3 linked regions of the Mus musculus genome follow. The protein of the gene in region 2 interacts with the protein of the main gene of each other region in a pairwise test. Links are inferred from orthologs where the notes say so. Each region holds a gene or a part of one and is shown on either strand. Other genes may lie near its edges.

What was found. The genes of interacting proteins can lie anywhere in the genome.
Region 1: the proteins of Chaf1a (region 2) and Mbd1 interact in binary tests that used the Homo sapiens proteins (3 or more experiments, as listed by UniProt). The link is inferred for Mus musculus from reciprocal best matches to the Homo sapiens genes CHAF1A and MBD1.
Region 3: the proteins of Chaf1a (region 2) and Rel interact in binary tests that used the Homo sapiens proteins (3 or more experiments, as listed by UniProt). The two-hybrid records come from large-scale screens. The link is inferred for Mus musculus from reciprocal best matches to the Homo sapiens genes CHAF1A and REL.

The regions. Positions count from the first base shown.
Region 1 is NC_000084.6:74,266,706-74,270,974, reverse strand, and holds the start of Mbd1 (methyl-CpG-binding domain protein 1), read right to left. Parts: upstream 2,801-4,269; 5' UTR 2,542-2,800; intron 1,573-2,541; 5' UTR 1,547-1,572; coding exon 1,437-1,546; intron 1-1,436. UniProt on the Homo sapiens protein: Transcriptional repressor that binds CpG islands in promoters where the DNA is methylated at position 5 of cytosine within CpG dinucleotides. Binding is abolished by the presence of 7-mG that is produced by DNA damage by methylmethanesulfonate (MMS).
Region 2 is NC_000083.6:56,038,308-56,044,232, forward strand, and holds the start of Chaf1a (chromatin assembly factor 1 subunit A), read left to right. Parts: upstream 1-2,108; 5' UTR 2,109-2,204; coding exon 2,205-2,244; intron 2,245-5,754; coding exon 5,755-5,805; intron 5,806-5,925. UniProt on the Homo sapiens protein: Acts as a component of the histone chaperone complex chromatin assembly factor 1 (CAF-1), which assembles histone octamers onto DNA during replication and repair.
Region 3 is NC_000077.6:23,768,170-23,772,414, forward strand, and holds the start of Rel (proto-oncogene c-Rel), read right to left. Parts: upstream 2,801-4,245; 5' UTR 2,521-2,800; coding exon 2,511-2,520; intron 1-2,510. UniProt on the Homo sapiens protein: Proto-oncogene that may play a role in differentiation and lymphopoiesis.

The DNA of each region.
Region 1 (4,269 bases), on a different chromosome or scaffold from region 2:
ACAAACCCTGAATTTTTGAAACAAGGACCACTGTGCCTACAGGAGACACAGGTGGGTTCCAGCAAGCCTGTCACATTTTCAAGCAACTGATCAATTGTCCTCTGTTTTATGAGTCTCTGCTTAAAAACACTGGTTTCGTACAAATGACTCCATGATTGTTAATGACTAAGAGCCAATGGCTTTAGAGGATGTTTTATCTAGGTTTGTCTGCTAATGTTTTGTTGTTTTCCTGAAGACACCTGCTGTACAGAACATATACCGTAAGTACAGTGTTTCTCCACCACATCATCTTCTGAGACACACAGGCCAGCCAGCACCAGCTGAGAGGGTTCCATTTCCCTAATGATGGCTGATACATTTTTGGCTTTCCCTGTAACGATGCTGGTACTGTGCTTTACTGTAAGGCCATTGGTTCACGGCTACCTTAACAACTTCTCTGAAGCTTCATCAAGCACTATAGATGGTAATTTCTTGTTTTTTAACAAAAATCTCAATCATTCGATTTTACCATTGAAGACTTGGGAGCCCGATAGCTCAGAGAGGCAGAGAAAGCACCCAGTTGACCTTCCTCCTCTGCTGACAGCCCAGCAAGCTTTTCCCACTCACACAAAATCCCTTCTTCAAACTGAAAGTCCCTCCCTTCTACTTCCTGTGCATCTCTCTATCCACCCTCATGACTACCTCTTATTCTCTATGATATTTTAATTATCTTATGTTCACTTCCTGTCAACTGGTTGCTTGTTCTGCCTCTTGACCTAAGTTTGAGCCACACCACAGCTACAAACAAGACTTTTTTCCTAGTAGGTCTAATCAGTCTCAGGGGGTTCACAGTGTGACTAAATAGCCTACAACAATTTCTGTTCTTTCCAGAGCAGCCTCACACACATCTCAGCAAGTTTGTTCTTCTTGTTCTGGATGGACCAGTTCTAATTTTTGAACACAGCAACTCAACCAGACAGCACTGCAATTCATGTGTGGAAGAAAAGCTTATCTGACAAGGAGGAAAGAAAATCTTCTCGTGCTCAGAACACTAGAAAATAATTCAGCACTTTATTTGGGAGTCATTTTAAACAACACATTTGCCAACAAAAATATGGCTCTAAAGAGACAGTAGAAAGAATGACCAGTTTACAGAACCAGAGAGAGAGAGAGAGAGAGAGTTCTTGTTTAACTTTGATTCCGAATACACGCACTAGACAATTCAAATTCTTAGCTGTTCCATGTTTGTCTGTGAATAATCACAAATGCACCGTGAATATTGACTTTGACCAAATTAAATCAACTTTATTAGGAATACATGATTAAGAAAACACAAAACTTGTAATAAGGACTATGTGCACAATTTTAACTCCATCCATAGATTTAAACACACCCCTTTGCTCTAATTACTAACAAGGTCCAACGCCACTGAACATTGCCCAGAGCACACCCGTTACCTCTGGTAATAGATGTCTGAGCGTCCAAACGAGGCCCCTGACTTTCGAAAGGACTCTCGGCGTTTCCAGCCAGGGCCCAGGGCTGGGCAGTCCTGCCAGGACTCAGCCATAGATGCTTCAGGGACAGAACAGAAGCCTGCAAGATTGAAAGAAAGTAGAGTATAGGGGAGAGTGGCAAAGTATTTCCAGGCCACAAAAGCAACCTGTTTCTCCCTCTTTGTTCTCCTCCAAACATGCATATCACCCTTCCTCAGTCTGAGAAGACTCGGTCCTCCTATTCTGGGTAAGAGGTCCCTAATTCTCTGGTCCTTGGGACCCTGCTTCAGTGTTCTAAGCACCCATTTAAACTTTCCTTGACCTGAGTTTCCAACGTCTCCCGGTGTTCTAGCTGCATTTATGGATCAGAGCCCCCAACTCCTCCATACACTGGATCAAACATTACCACACATTCTTCCCATTCCTCAGGTTGGAAGCCTCCCTCTTAAGTTCAAGAGTTGGCCCCAGAGCTTATTTTCCCCTCATTATTCAGACCCACAACTCTTCTCCAGTCTCGGTCCCAAGCGTCTCTATTGCTCACCCCTACAGCCGGTGTTAGCTACTCTTTCTCTAACTGTATTACCATTCTCCATTCCTCTTATCATCTTGTGAAACTTCCTTTTCCCTCCACAGTGACCTGGCCTCCCAATTTCCTAGTTTTGTGTTCCAAGACAAGGCCTTCCCTCCCAACCATCGGACATTCTACTTCTTTTTGTCCACCAAGAGTGTCCAGTCCCTCATTATTCTAACTATTTCTCCCGTCTCGAGGCCTTATCTTTGCATGATCAGCTTTGGGACGCCATTTCTATCCTGTTTAACACGAAGACTCAATGACTCTCTGAACGTTCTCTCTCTTCTACTCCTCGCCATCCTAGTCCCAGAATCTAGACACCGCTGTCAATGCCCTGAGCCACATCCCTTCCTCTTCGGTCTTTCTGTCCAGTTACCCCAGTCCCCTCTTTAAACATTCAGAGGAAGTCATTCCTTCTCCGGAGGCGAGGGCCCCCGCTAGCGTTCCGAGCCTCCACAGCCTCCTCCCGAGCTGTCGCCACTCCCACGGCTGTCTCACCAGCTTGACACCAGGCCCGCAGCTTCCTCCGCTCTAGGCCCGTGGACCCATGAGAAGGATCCCACTAGCGCGACCGGCCCGTTCCACTCTTCTTCTCTTCCTCCTCCACCAGTGCCTCTTCCAAAACAGTCGCCTCTGCGGCGGTTGCTTACTCCCGGAACCGGAAACCAAATGCTTGCCTTTGGGGCTCCGACTAGGACCAGCCGCTGTGTGTACAGCCTGGTCACGCGTGCCCTCATTGGGGAGGCTCCGCGCCTGCGCACTGCGGCTTCACAGCGGCGCGCGGATTCCCGGGGATCTTCAGCGCCTGCGCACTGACAACACCCGCAGCCCGCCGGGTCTCGGTTGCCTGTGCGTCTGCGCGCCTCGGTGCACAGGCACCTCCACCTTCCCTGCTGCTCCGCTCCAAAGTCGCTCCGGACACAAGGGGGCGTGAATGGCCTGGCCGGCTCGGCCCACTCCGAATTTCGGTCTCCACAAATAGCAGGAGCACTGAACGACGAGGTTATGCCTGTCCACTTCCTTTTCCAGGAGACATTCCGCCTTTGTTCCTGTGACTGCCTTCTTCAGGATTGGTACCCGCTTCTTTGTGGAATAGGATCGCTGCACCCTGGCCAGGTTCCTTGCTTGGGAACCAAGGAGGAGGTGTGGTGTGCAAATGAAAGACCCCCGAAGGGAGACCCTCACTCAGCCGCGGACCCAAGAAGACACTGAGACCGAACTCAAAATGTAGAGGGCAAGATTTAATAAAGCAACAGCAAGAAAGCACATAGACCAGAGCTCTGGGGTCAAAGCTCATACACCTAGTATGGTGTAGAGGAGAATCGACCTCGAGCCAAATTTTTCACAGGCTTATATAAGAAAAACTCAAGGGGGGAGAGCGGGGCAGGGAAAGTACAAGTTTGCATAACTAAGGGGTTCTGCCAAGGGACAAGGGGTTCTGCCAAGGGAATTCTACGTAACTAAGGGGTCATGTCCTATTATTTGGCAATGTACCCGGTTCATTCTGAGGTTGTTCCAGGAGGCCCTTATCTCAAAAATGTTCTTGGAACAGTCTTTAGTTGGGAGGGTTCGAACTCTAGGATGAGGAGTTCAGGAATGCATTCTGGGGTGAAGAGTTCAGGAGTGTTCTGGGAACAATCTCTAGATGGGAGGGGTCGGGCTCTGGGGTGAGGAAGAGTTCAGTAATTTTTTATCTTTATTCTTCATCCCCCACTCCTTTTAGAAAACAGCTCTAATCTTAGAGCCAGTTTTCAACCTCTTGGAGGACCCGATATTGTTGCCTTAGTACCATAACATGTACTGCATTTATCCTTTCTCTAATAAAAGCTACCAACTTATTAAGGATGCAGGGGCCAAAAGTAAGCAAAAGCATAAGTGTAATTAAAGGTCCTGCTATGGTGGAGAGGAGAGTGGTGAGCCAAGGGGACTTATTAAACCAGCTTTCGAACCATCCTTGTTGGCTTTCTCTTTCTCTTTTACGTATATCTAGGCGTTCTCTAAGTTTGGCCATAGAATCTTTGATTACTCCTGAATGGTCAACATAAAAACAACATTCTTCTTTTAGGGCAGCACAGAGTCCTCCTTCTTTAAGGAATAATAAGTCTAATCCCCTTCTATTTTGTAGCACCACTTCGGACAGGGAAGTTAAAGATTCTTCTAATTTGGTTATAGACTGTTCTATAGTTCTAAGATCAACATCCATAGCTGCACGTAGTTCTTCATAGT
Region 2 (5,925 bases):
GGCAATGCACACACCTTTAACCCAAGCCCCTGAGAAGCAGAGCAGATGGGTCTCCGAGTTTGCGGCCAGTCTGGACTACATAACCAGTTACAGACCAGGCAAGCATGACCTGGAGATTAATAATGAATGGAGGTAATGAGTAAATAAATCCTAAAGCAGACACAGGAAAATGGCTAGGGTTGAAATTGGTGAAAAGTTGGGGTGGTTTCATGAACCCAGAGATTACTGGAAGGTTCCAAATGACTCAAAGGGTTGTACTGCAGTAGATCAAAAAATATGTATGTGCCATCTTTACTGCTCCTGAATCCAGGAGTCTTTATAAAAAGTTTGGAGTATGAGTAGTTTCTGTTTCTTTTGTTTTTTTGAGACAGGGTAACATAAACCGGCCTCTCCTCTCTTAGTGCTGCAATAACAGGCCTGGGACACCATGTCTCCTTTCCGAAACAGAACTGGATGCCAGCCAGGGTTTCCTGGCACGCCCACCGCCCACCAGCAACTCACAAGACTCCCTCAAGGGTGCTCTTTATTTTATATGTTTTGAGATGGTGGAGGCTGGCTTCAAACTTGGTACTTAGCTCACCGTGGCCTTTAACTCCTAATCTTTCTGCCTTCACCTCCCAAATACAGGGCTGACAGGTCCTTGACAGCAGGATTGGCTCCACGAGACCCACACAATTCAATCAAATTATATTCTTCAGCAAGTCAGAGATTTGATGAGGTCCGTGACACTAGAGCACTCCTTACCTTCACTGAGCCCATGGCCCAAAAGCAATTCATACAACTAATTCATTAGCTAAATAACCCACTTACTAGCCACAGCTTCAAGAAAACTGTTGCAGGCATTCGAGCTGTTTGCAGATAAAGAAAGGTTTCTTCCTCCACCTAACAACAGCAGCAACAACAACAAGAAAAGATTTAGAAACTAGTGATTGGGTTCCAGATCAGCAAGGCTACATAGTGAGATTCTGTCTTAAAATTAAAAACAAAAACAAAAGACAGAGGCAATTATTCTTTTGTTGTTGTTGTTGTTTTTGAGACAGGGTTTCTCTGTATAGCCCAGGCTGTCCTGGAACTCACTCTGCAGACCAGGCTGGCCTCAAACTCAGAAATCCACCTGCCTCTGCCTCCAGAGTGCTGGGATTAAAGGCCGGCTGAAAAACATTTTTTTATACATCGTATCACTGGCTGTCTTGGATCTTGCTATGTAGATCAGGTTGTCCTCGAACTCAGAGATCCACCTGCTTGTAAATCCCAAGTACTAGGATTAAAAGCATGAAGCACCAGACTCAATTTTTTTCATTTAATATTCTTCAAAGTAATTTACACGAAAAGAAGGAATATATGGTTGAAAAGATTTATAATTTTACAATAGAAAAACATTCCTAATTTTAAAATAAAGCAAATTGTTAATTTATTAAAAAGTGGTTCATCATTTCAAAAATGAAATGCCCAGCTGTAACATTTTTAGAAAGAGTTTATATCCGGGCAATGGTGGCACACGCCTTTAATCCCAGCACTTGGGAGACAGAGGTAGGCAGATTTCTGAGTTCAAGGCCAGCCTGGTCTACAGAGTGAGTTCCAGGACAGCCAGGGCTACAAAGAGAAACCCTGTCTCGAAAAAAAATTATAGTTAAAAGAGAAATTAATGCAAGAAATAAAATTAAAGGAAGTAATTCTCTAATTACAATGGCTACTTTCAACCCGTCACTATTATACCTTAATTCCCATTACTCTTCCAATGGGTAATTTCAAGTTGTCACTACTAATCTAAACGTACCCTTCCCACCTCCTGGAACGCATATAGCCAATAAAAGGGGTGTGGGGGGTGTGCAAACGCTGATATTTTAGATTGACATTTCTTAGGATCAATAGAAATGCAGATCTTCCCAGCAGCTCCTGAACCGCCGGAAAGGAGCCTTCATCCGCCTCCCGCGGGATTTTCTAGCACATAAACCGAAGTTCTCGCGAGGACGTACTGAGTGCACCTCTTTTTCCGGAGGCTGAGGTGTCACGTGACGCAAGCTCCTCCAATCGGCGCGCGGGCCGCGGTGGTTGCCGCGGTTCCCGCCAAATACGAGCGCGGCGGCCGCGGCGGCAGCAGAAGTGACACCGGTGGGAGGCGGAGTGTGCAGCCTGGCCGCCCGACTGAAGCCTGAGCCGCCGCCGCCGCCGCCGCCGCCGCCGCCGCCGCCGCCGTCGCGGAGATGTTGGAGGAGCCGGAGGCCGCGACGCGGACAGCCGCGGGTGGGTGAAACTGCCTAAAGGAGCGGATCCAAGCCTAAGTGGCCTCGGGGCGGAGACCAGGAGAAGGGAGGGCTCTTAGGAAACTGAGGCCTCGGGGAGGGGGAAGAGTCAGCTTCGCAAGCTCCCGAAGGCATCTTGTGTCGCCTAAATAGCTGGAGTAAATGGGGAAACCGAGGCCCCGAGTTGGATTTGATGGATCCTGAGTGCTTGTGTCCTCTTGAAATCAATTGGATCTTGTAGCAGCAAGTGGAGAAACTGAGGGCAAGGAGAAGAAAAGTCAGTCGTACAAGTTATTAAGTGCGTTTGTGAATTCCAGAGCAGTTCGGACCTTTGCAATGGGCGGGGAAATTGAGGCCCGTGCTCACTTGAGCTCTGGACACCAGAGTAGCAGCAACTCTGCGGGGCAGGGCTAGTCCAGGAAGGTCGGTTTGGGTGGTTAAAGCATAGCCAGGAACCCTTTCTGGGTCCCGAAAAGGGGCCCTTTGTGAGTGTGGTATGGACCAGTCGGGTACGTGTTAGGAGTCTTTGTAGCATGCGGTAGGCTTCCCGAAATGTGGGGTGCCTATTCCCCGCTAAATTGTATCCCCAGTGTGTGTTGAACGATTGAGGGGCTGGAAAAGACGAGGTCGGTCCTGATAGACTAAGATTTCTCCAATTGAGCACCACTGACTAGACAGCCCTTCTGGGTACATTACACTAGTCTGCAAGCTCGGAGATGAGGGGAATTGGGGATGGCCAATTTCAGGATGGAGAGCCGCATCCTCAATCTCCATCCACTTCTGGGATAACTCTGGCCCCTTTTACAGTTCTGATCATCAAAGATACACACACACACACACACACACACACACACACACACACACACACACACCCTTCACAGCCTGGTATTCCAGGAAGGCTGGAGCTGTTGTTCTGACTGGCTTGAGAATTTTATGTGGGCATTAATAGTCGTACAATTCCTGGACTCTCATGGAGCATTGTTTTTATTTAACCAAGGTGGAACGTTTAAAACCGACACTATTGCTCTGGCAATAAAGACCAGTTTGGTGTAGCAGTTCATACCTGCAGTTCAGCATCCTAGAAGCTGAGGCAGGAGGATGATGAATTTCAGGTTGATCTGGCCTCTGACCACCTGAATTGTATCCTGGGAAGAAGAGAATCAATTCCACAAGCCTGTATCCAATAAATTAATTAAAGTGGAATAAAACTTTTAAAGAAAAAAGTGTCCTTCGGGGGGGGGTGGCTTTTTTTTTTAAAATAGAAAATTGAGGTGATGTTACCTTCCATTCAAATGAGAAGAAGGGAGAGTGTTCTGGGGGTCCGAGTCTCTAAGTTGGTGTGCCTGGGCTGTTTCTACTCTGGATAGCTGAGGTTGTAGGAAAGCTTAAGTCTGAATTGCATGCAACATTAGCAAAATGTATGGGAATTCACCCCAAATTACTGATGGAGTTTCTATGCACCCAAGGCATTTACCTATGGCAGGTTCTCATCTGGGTGTGGTGGCACACACCTTTAATCCCAGCAGCACTCAGAGGCAGATGCAAGTGGATCTCTGAGTTTGAGGCCGGCCTGATCTACATAGCAAGTTCAAGACAATCAAGACTATGTAGAGAGTCTCAAAACAAACAAAAAGACAGGCTCTATTTATGGTCTAATATACATGGGTTTTAATGTGCTTACTTATTCTTGCGACTTTAAATTCATTTTAGTGGGAGATAATCTCTTTCATGAGGTCTTTAATTTGTTTCTTTTTTGTAGTTATTAGTTTTAGACCAGGTCCCCATGTAGCCCAGGCAAGCCTCTAACTCCAAGTGTTAACATGCCCTAGTTTATGCAAGGCTAGGATGGAACTTAGACACTCCTACATGTTAGGTCAGCATGCTACCCATTGAGCCCAACCCCAGGTTCTTTATTGTGTCTTGACATGAGTACAGATTCTGCAACGAAATTTATTCATTTCATCTATTTAAGAGTAGGATACCTTCACTTAAAAAAATTGGTTTTGTTTACTTAAAGATTTATTTCTTGTTATGTGTCTGTGTATGTCTATGCACATGAGCTAGGTGCCCATGGAAGCCAGAGAGGGCACTGGATCCCTTGGTGCTAGACTTTCGGTGGTTGGTTATGAACTGTTGGATCTGGGATCAGAACAGCAAGTGCTTTTAGTTTCTGATCCATTTGTCCAGTCACACTCACTGTGTCTGTGTGAATCAGTTCTTCCCTTCCCCCATGTGGGTCCTGAGGATTGAGCTTTAGAGTCAGGAGGCTTGGAAAGTCCCCCTCCCTACTCACTGAACCATCTTGTCAGCCCTCACTTGACTTTTGGGACATTTTTGGACAGTTGAGCCTTAACTGACCTAGAAGAAGGGCCATAATGCAAGTTTCTGAGTGAGGGACTCAGGAGGGACTGAGTCTAGGGTAGTGTTGCTCAGTGTTGACATTTTGAGCCAAATAATTTTTTGTTGTGGGACTGACTTGTTCATTGTAGATTGTTTATAGGGAGTGCCTGTATAGTAACTGAAAGTGAGTAGCATCCCCAAACCTTCCCCAGCCATGAAGACTGCCTCTGGGGGCTCAGAATGGGGCATAAGGGTCAGGGTACTTGCTGTTAAGTCTGACCACTTGGGCTCTGCCATTAGAACCTACAAGTAGACCAACAGGACTGACTCCTGCAAGTTGATATGTTCTGTGACACTCCATGTGGCAATGTGGACTGGCAGGTGCACACACAGCAAATATAAAAACATAAAACTGCTGGGGCTGGAGAGATGGCTCAGCAGTTAAGAACACTGACTGCTATTCTAGAGGTCCTGAGTTTACTTCCCAGCAACCACATGGCAGCTCACAACCATCTGTAATGGGATCTAATGCTCTCTTCTGGTGCGTCTGAAGACAGCTACAGTGTACTCATATATATTAAATAAGTTAATTAAAAAAAAAAAGTAAAACTGCAGAGAAGGAGAGAGGCTCAGCGGTTAAGGACACTCATTACTCTTACAGAGGACCAGAGTTCCCATCCAAGCACCTACATCCAGTGCCTCAGAACTGCCTATAGCTCCAGATCCAGGGGAACTGATAGATACCATGCACACAAACACATGTATACACGTAAATAAAAATACACTGTGGCTGGGCATGGTGGTAGGTATGTGTCTTCATTCCCAGCATTTGAGAGGCAGGGGCAAGTAGACCTTTGTAAGTTCCAGGTCATCCCAATTACATACTAAGACCCCCATATACAAACAAACTAAGTAATGATTTTTTTAAGTCTAAAAGCAGGCTGTGATACTTTGTGCCTGGGATGTTAGCATTTGGGAGGCAGAGTCAGGATTGCCATGAGTTTTTCTAGGTCAGCCTGTGCTGCATAGTTCAACCCTGTCTCAAGCAAAGAGGCGGTTCAAGTGGACCAGACAGCGCCGCAGGAGCCTGCTTGTGTTTGGCTGTTGTAGACTTTAGCTGGCCAATGACCCTTACCCTTAGTAACTTCTGCTTTTCTGTCTTTACCTACAGCCGTGGATTGCAAAGACAGACCCGGGTTCCCAGTGAAGAGGTTAATACAAGGTAACTTAAGTTCTAAACCTGGTTCCTAAGTTGTTTCCATTGGCTTCTGTGGGGTCCTTAGTGGCCTGTGAGGGGCTGAGTGGAGGGCAGTAGTTTCTCCCTTCAGGCTGGATAGTCTCT
Region 3 (4,245 bases), on a different chromosome or scaffold from region 2:
TTCACTTTTATTGGGGGGGGGGAAAGGTTATCTTGAAATTCATACAAAAAGTTGGTGAGTAGTAAGGTCCACAAAAATAATTCCTTCCTATACTTCCTGTTATGTGACACAGCAGAATCATGTTAAAGAAAAAAAATGTGACTAAATACAAACTTTCTAAATTTTAAAGTACATTTCACCAAAGACAATCTTAATCATTAGTAAAATAGTATGTATCTTACAAGGCAACTGTGCACCTCCCTCCACTTTGTTCTTTTTAGGAAATAGTGAAAATTTTTAGATATGGACACAAGACAGCTAACTTAAATAGAATACAATTGTTTGAATAATGACTGCTTAAATATGCAGATCTTTGATCAGGAACATTTTTTTCCATGTTGCCTGCTATAATTAATCTTATCAAAAAGCTAGAACAAAGCACAGTATTGTTTAAAAGGCAATGAAAAACAGCTTAATGGCTAGCTAGGAAGTCTTAACTTGCTAATTTACCTGAACAATAATTAGTATCATCATATAAAATCCTGTCTTTTCACAACATTTATATAATTCTGCCCAGGAGATTATTATCTACGACACTTTACATTTATAAGCACCACCTATTCAATTACACATACCTATTTACATATGACATCGGAGAGGAATGAACAAATGATCTCAATGCTTGGTAATCAATATGAATACTTTCCTAGGTTTCAGTACTATATTGCAAAAAAAAGGATCTAAATTACATAATCATAAGTTAAACAGTTTTGTTGCTTTTAAATTAGTATTTCAAAGGGAATGGGAATTTTAAATTTATTTCATAATTTTTCTCTATTTGGTCTTTATAACTGATATAAGGTACCCAGACTCCTTTAAACTATATTTTTGCCTAGAAACTTCAAATAGCAGAATTACAATTTAAATGACATGGTGTATTTTAAGTAGTCTCATTTAGTGCAACCCTTGATAAAAGATCAAAAAGCAAGAAGATAATGATACTACAACTTGCAGATTTGTTTTCTATGTTTGTTGGGATTTTTTTTTTTTCTCTGACAGTACTGAGAACTGAACCCAGGGCTTCACAGAAGCTGGGCAAGCCCAACCCAACTTCTAAATCCTTAAAACTTGCCATTTCTTTTAAAAAGTTCCCCACTTTAACTTTTGGAATCATTTCTATAACAGCACAAAATATATGTCCTTAGGCAAATTGCAATTGTATTACATTTTAAAATCATATCTGTCTTACAGTTCTTTAATAAATGACTTTTCTGTTGAAAAAAATTCAAGTATTGCATTCATACACTATATAATAAGATTCTATTAGGTAGACAAGGACAGAACTGTTTTAACAAAGCTTGCCACTCTTTACAAATGTCATACAAAAATCTCTTTCTGATTACCAATGAATTAAATACTTAAAGCCTTTTTGTGCTTCTAATCAGAACATGAGTTAAATTTACAAATTTACTAGAGCATCTGAAAGCCTGGCTTCATTTAAATGGGTAAAGAGAAAGTTGAAATATTTTAAACTACACTTGTTTTCTCATGAAAACCACAGACAAACTGAAATCAAGTGTCATGTGAAACACCCCAGTTTCCTTTACAGCAGGAGTTATGATATTGTTCTGCTCAACTCTTAAAGAGTTCACTAAGCTTTCTACTTCCTCTTCTCTGCCAGACGTCGGCTGCCTTCTACTGAGGGTCACTGGGAAGATAAGGGTCAGCGTCCTGCTACAGACAGAAGGTGTCATTTTTAGCTCCCACCACCATCTCAGCTGCTTCAAGTGCTTGCTTTACATATAGTACGACTGTCATACTAAACTCCCCTGTCCTGTAAACTGTTTCTTATAAATGTCCCCCTCAAAGCAGATGATCCAAAACTTACTAGTGGCAGATAAAACACTGACATTAAACGATGACATTTTCAACCCTACCAGTTACTTTAAAGTATAATCAAATCTCGTCCTCTTGCTGCTAACAAAACGCGCGTGCAGGTTTGGGGTTGGGGGTTGAAGGGATCGAGGTCTCTACACGGTAAATTAGACAAGCAACATCTTTAGCTCGTGGGGGCGGGGGTAGTGTTTTCGCTTGGAACGAATTAAAACGCCACTGAGGACTTTCACAGCCACGCCACATTCTGTACCAGTGTCAGCCGCTAGCACGATTGGACTTAAAAAAAGAAAGCTCGTCTGAGGTCCGGAGGTTCCTCTTTTTTGTTCAAAAATGTAAAACTGGGTCTCCATACCACTGAGTCTTTAAACGCGAGGCTTCTCTGCTCTCCTTTACTGAGATTACCCCCTGTGATCCTAAAAGCACACCGTTGGGAATTTCGAAGGTTCTGGCTATTAGGAGAAGATCAGATTACAGTGCGCCGCTTTGATTTCACACGCAAACCCCGGAGCGGGCAACTTTTCAAACGGCTGACAATTTGCCAGATGAGAAGACTTGAAAGGCAGACCGTCCTAACCCCAAACGGAGCCCCCGACAGCTCCTCCCCGTGACCCGCGAGTGCTCGCCCCGGTACTCACTCGAGGCCATGGCTCGGCTCCGCGCGCCGCTCGCTGCAGCTTCCAGCGTCCGGCCCGAGGCTGCAAGGCAGCCAGTCAGTCAGTCAGTGAGTCAGTCAGCCAGGCAGTCGGTCAGGCAGGCAGTCAGCCAGCTAGCCCGTCAGTCAGCCAACCAGTGAGGAGGCTGAGCAGCCTCCGCAGCCGGGACGCCTGTCCTCGGACCACCCCCGGGCCTCCTCTTCTTTCCCGGCTCCTCTGGGTTTGCGGCTCACACCTTCCCACCCCCGAATCTTCGCGCTCCGGTCACTAGTGTCCTGGCGTCGCCTTGCCAGGATGCCGCGGCAGGGGCAGGGGGCGGGGCGGACCGCCCGGCGGAACGTGGGGGGAGGGGGGGGGATTTCCCGCTGCTTACGTCACTCGCGCCACCGCCTACCCGGGGCGGGGGGCGGAGCCTCGCGGCGGGCGCGCGACCCCGCGCGGGCCAGTGCGCTTACTTCCTCCAGAGCCACCACAGCCTGCACGCTCGCGCCGGGAGCTCCGTGAGGGCGCGCAGCGACGACTCCGCGCGTGAGAAGCCGTCGGTCCCTGAGAAATCCCCCTCCTCCAGAGTCCTTGAGAGCGCCGCTTAAAGCCGAGGGGCGTGTTCGTGACGTCATGCTGGCCGAGCGGCCGGAGGCGGGCCGGGCGGTGCACCGGGCGCGCTCCTTGGCCGCCCGAGGCCCGCCCGGGGTTTTCGACCGGTGGTTCCCCCTCTTCCCGATTTCGCACATGCAAATCTCCGCCCCCGCGCCAGAGAGTTGTCCGGGTGCTCTGGAGGGGAAGTGCGGAAGCGCCAGCGCCCGCGTTCGGCAGTAAGGCGCAGATTTGCATACGGGGACCCCCGCAGCCTTATTTTCCCTCTATATCTACATTACGTCTTTTACCTACCAAAGTTTTTCAGCTGCACTGCGAGGCCGCTAACCCCATTCTGTATAAATGTACACGACGTCCAGAGATTGGCCGAGATACCCACGGCCTGAGGCCTGGACCGAACTTTGGTGCTTTGACAGGTCAGGCGGAATCTTGTTTGCCTTCAGTTGCTAATACGCACCTGTTCTCTTAGTCTATGATGTATTAGCATGTCATTGTATACACGAGTATTAGGGTTGATTGGGGTTTGGAGAAGCTGAGTAGCTTGTCCATACTTTAGAGTTCTAGAAAGGAATTGCACGATTTAAGCTTAAGATTATCCAGCCCCGTTTAGCGCACTGCACTCCCAGCACGCGGGAGGCTGAGGTAGGTGGACTGTCTCAACAACAGAAATAACTCAGGGTTATCTGGCTCCACCTCTTACGTTCTCCAGTCATTTACTGACTAAAACAAGTAATGGAGGGGAAATAGAGAATATCATCTTGCATGGCCAACAAGATAGCTTAGAGAATAATTGCGCTTGCTACCAAGCCTGACAAATTGAGTTTGATCCATGGAAGGACAGAATCAACTTCCAAAAGTTGTCCTCTTACCTCTACATGCGCTTCAAAGAACGCCAAAGTGTGTGTGTGTGTGTGGGGGGGGGGGGGTTGGATAATTAAAATATATACTATCCTGTCATAAAAAATTCATCCTGTTATACAACTCCCCCAAAGTGAAGGAAATAATTAAAATCTGCTAGTTCCAAATTGTCTTCTCAAAGAGTATAAATAGCAGTTGTGTTTTTAGTTAAACACAATCATAAACAAGTCACAAAGATATAAAATAAAATAAAACAATTAGCAGG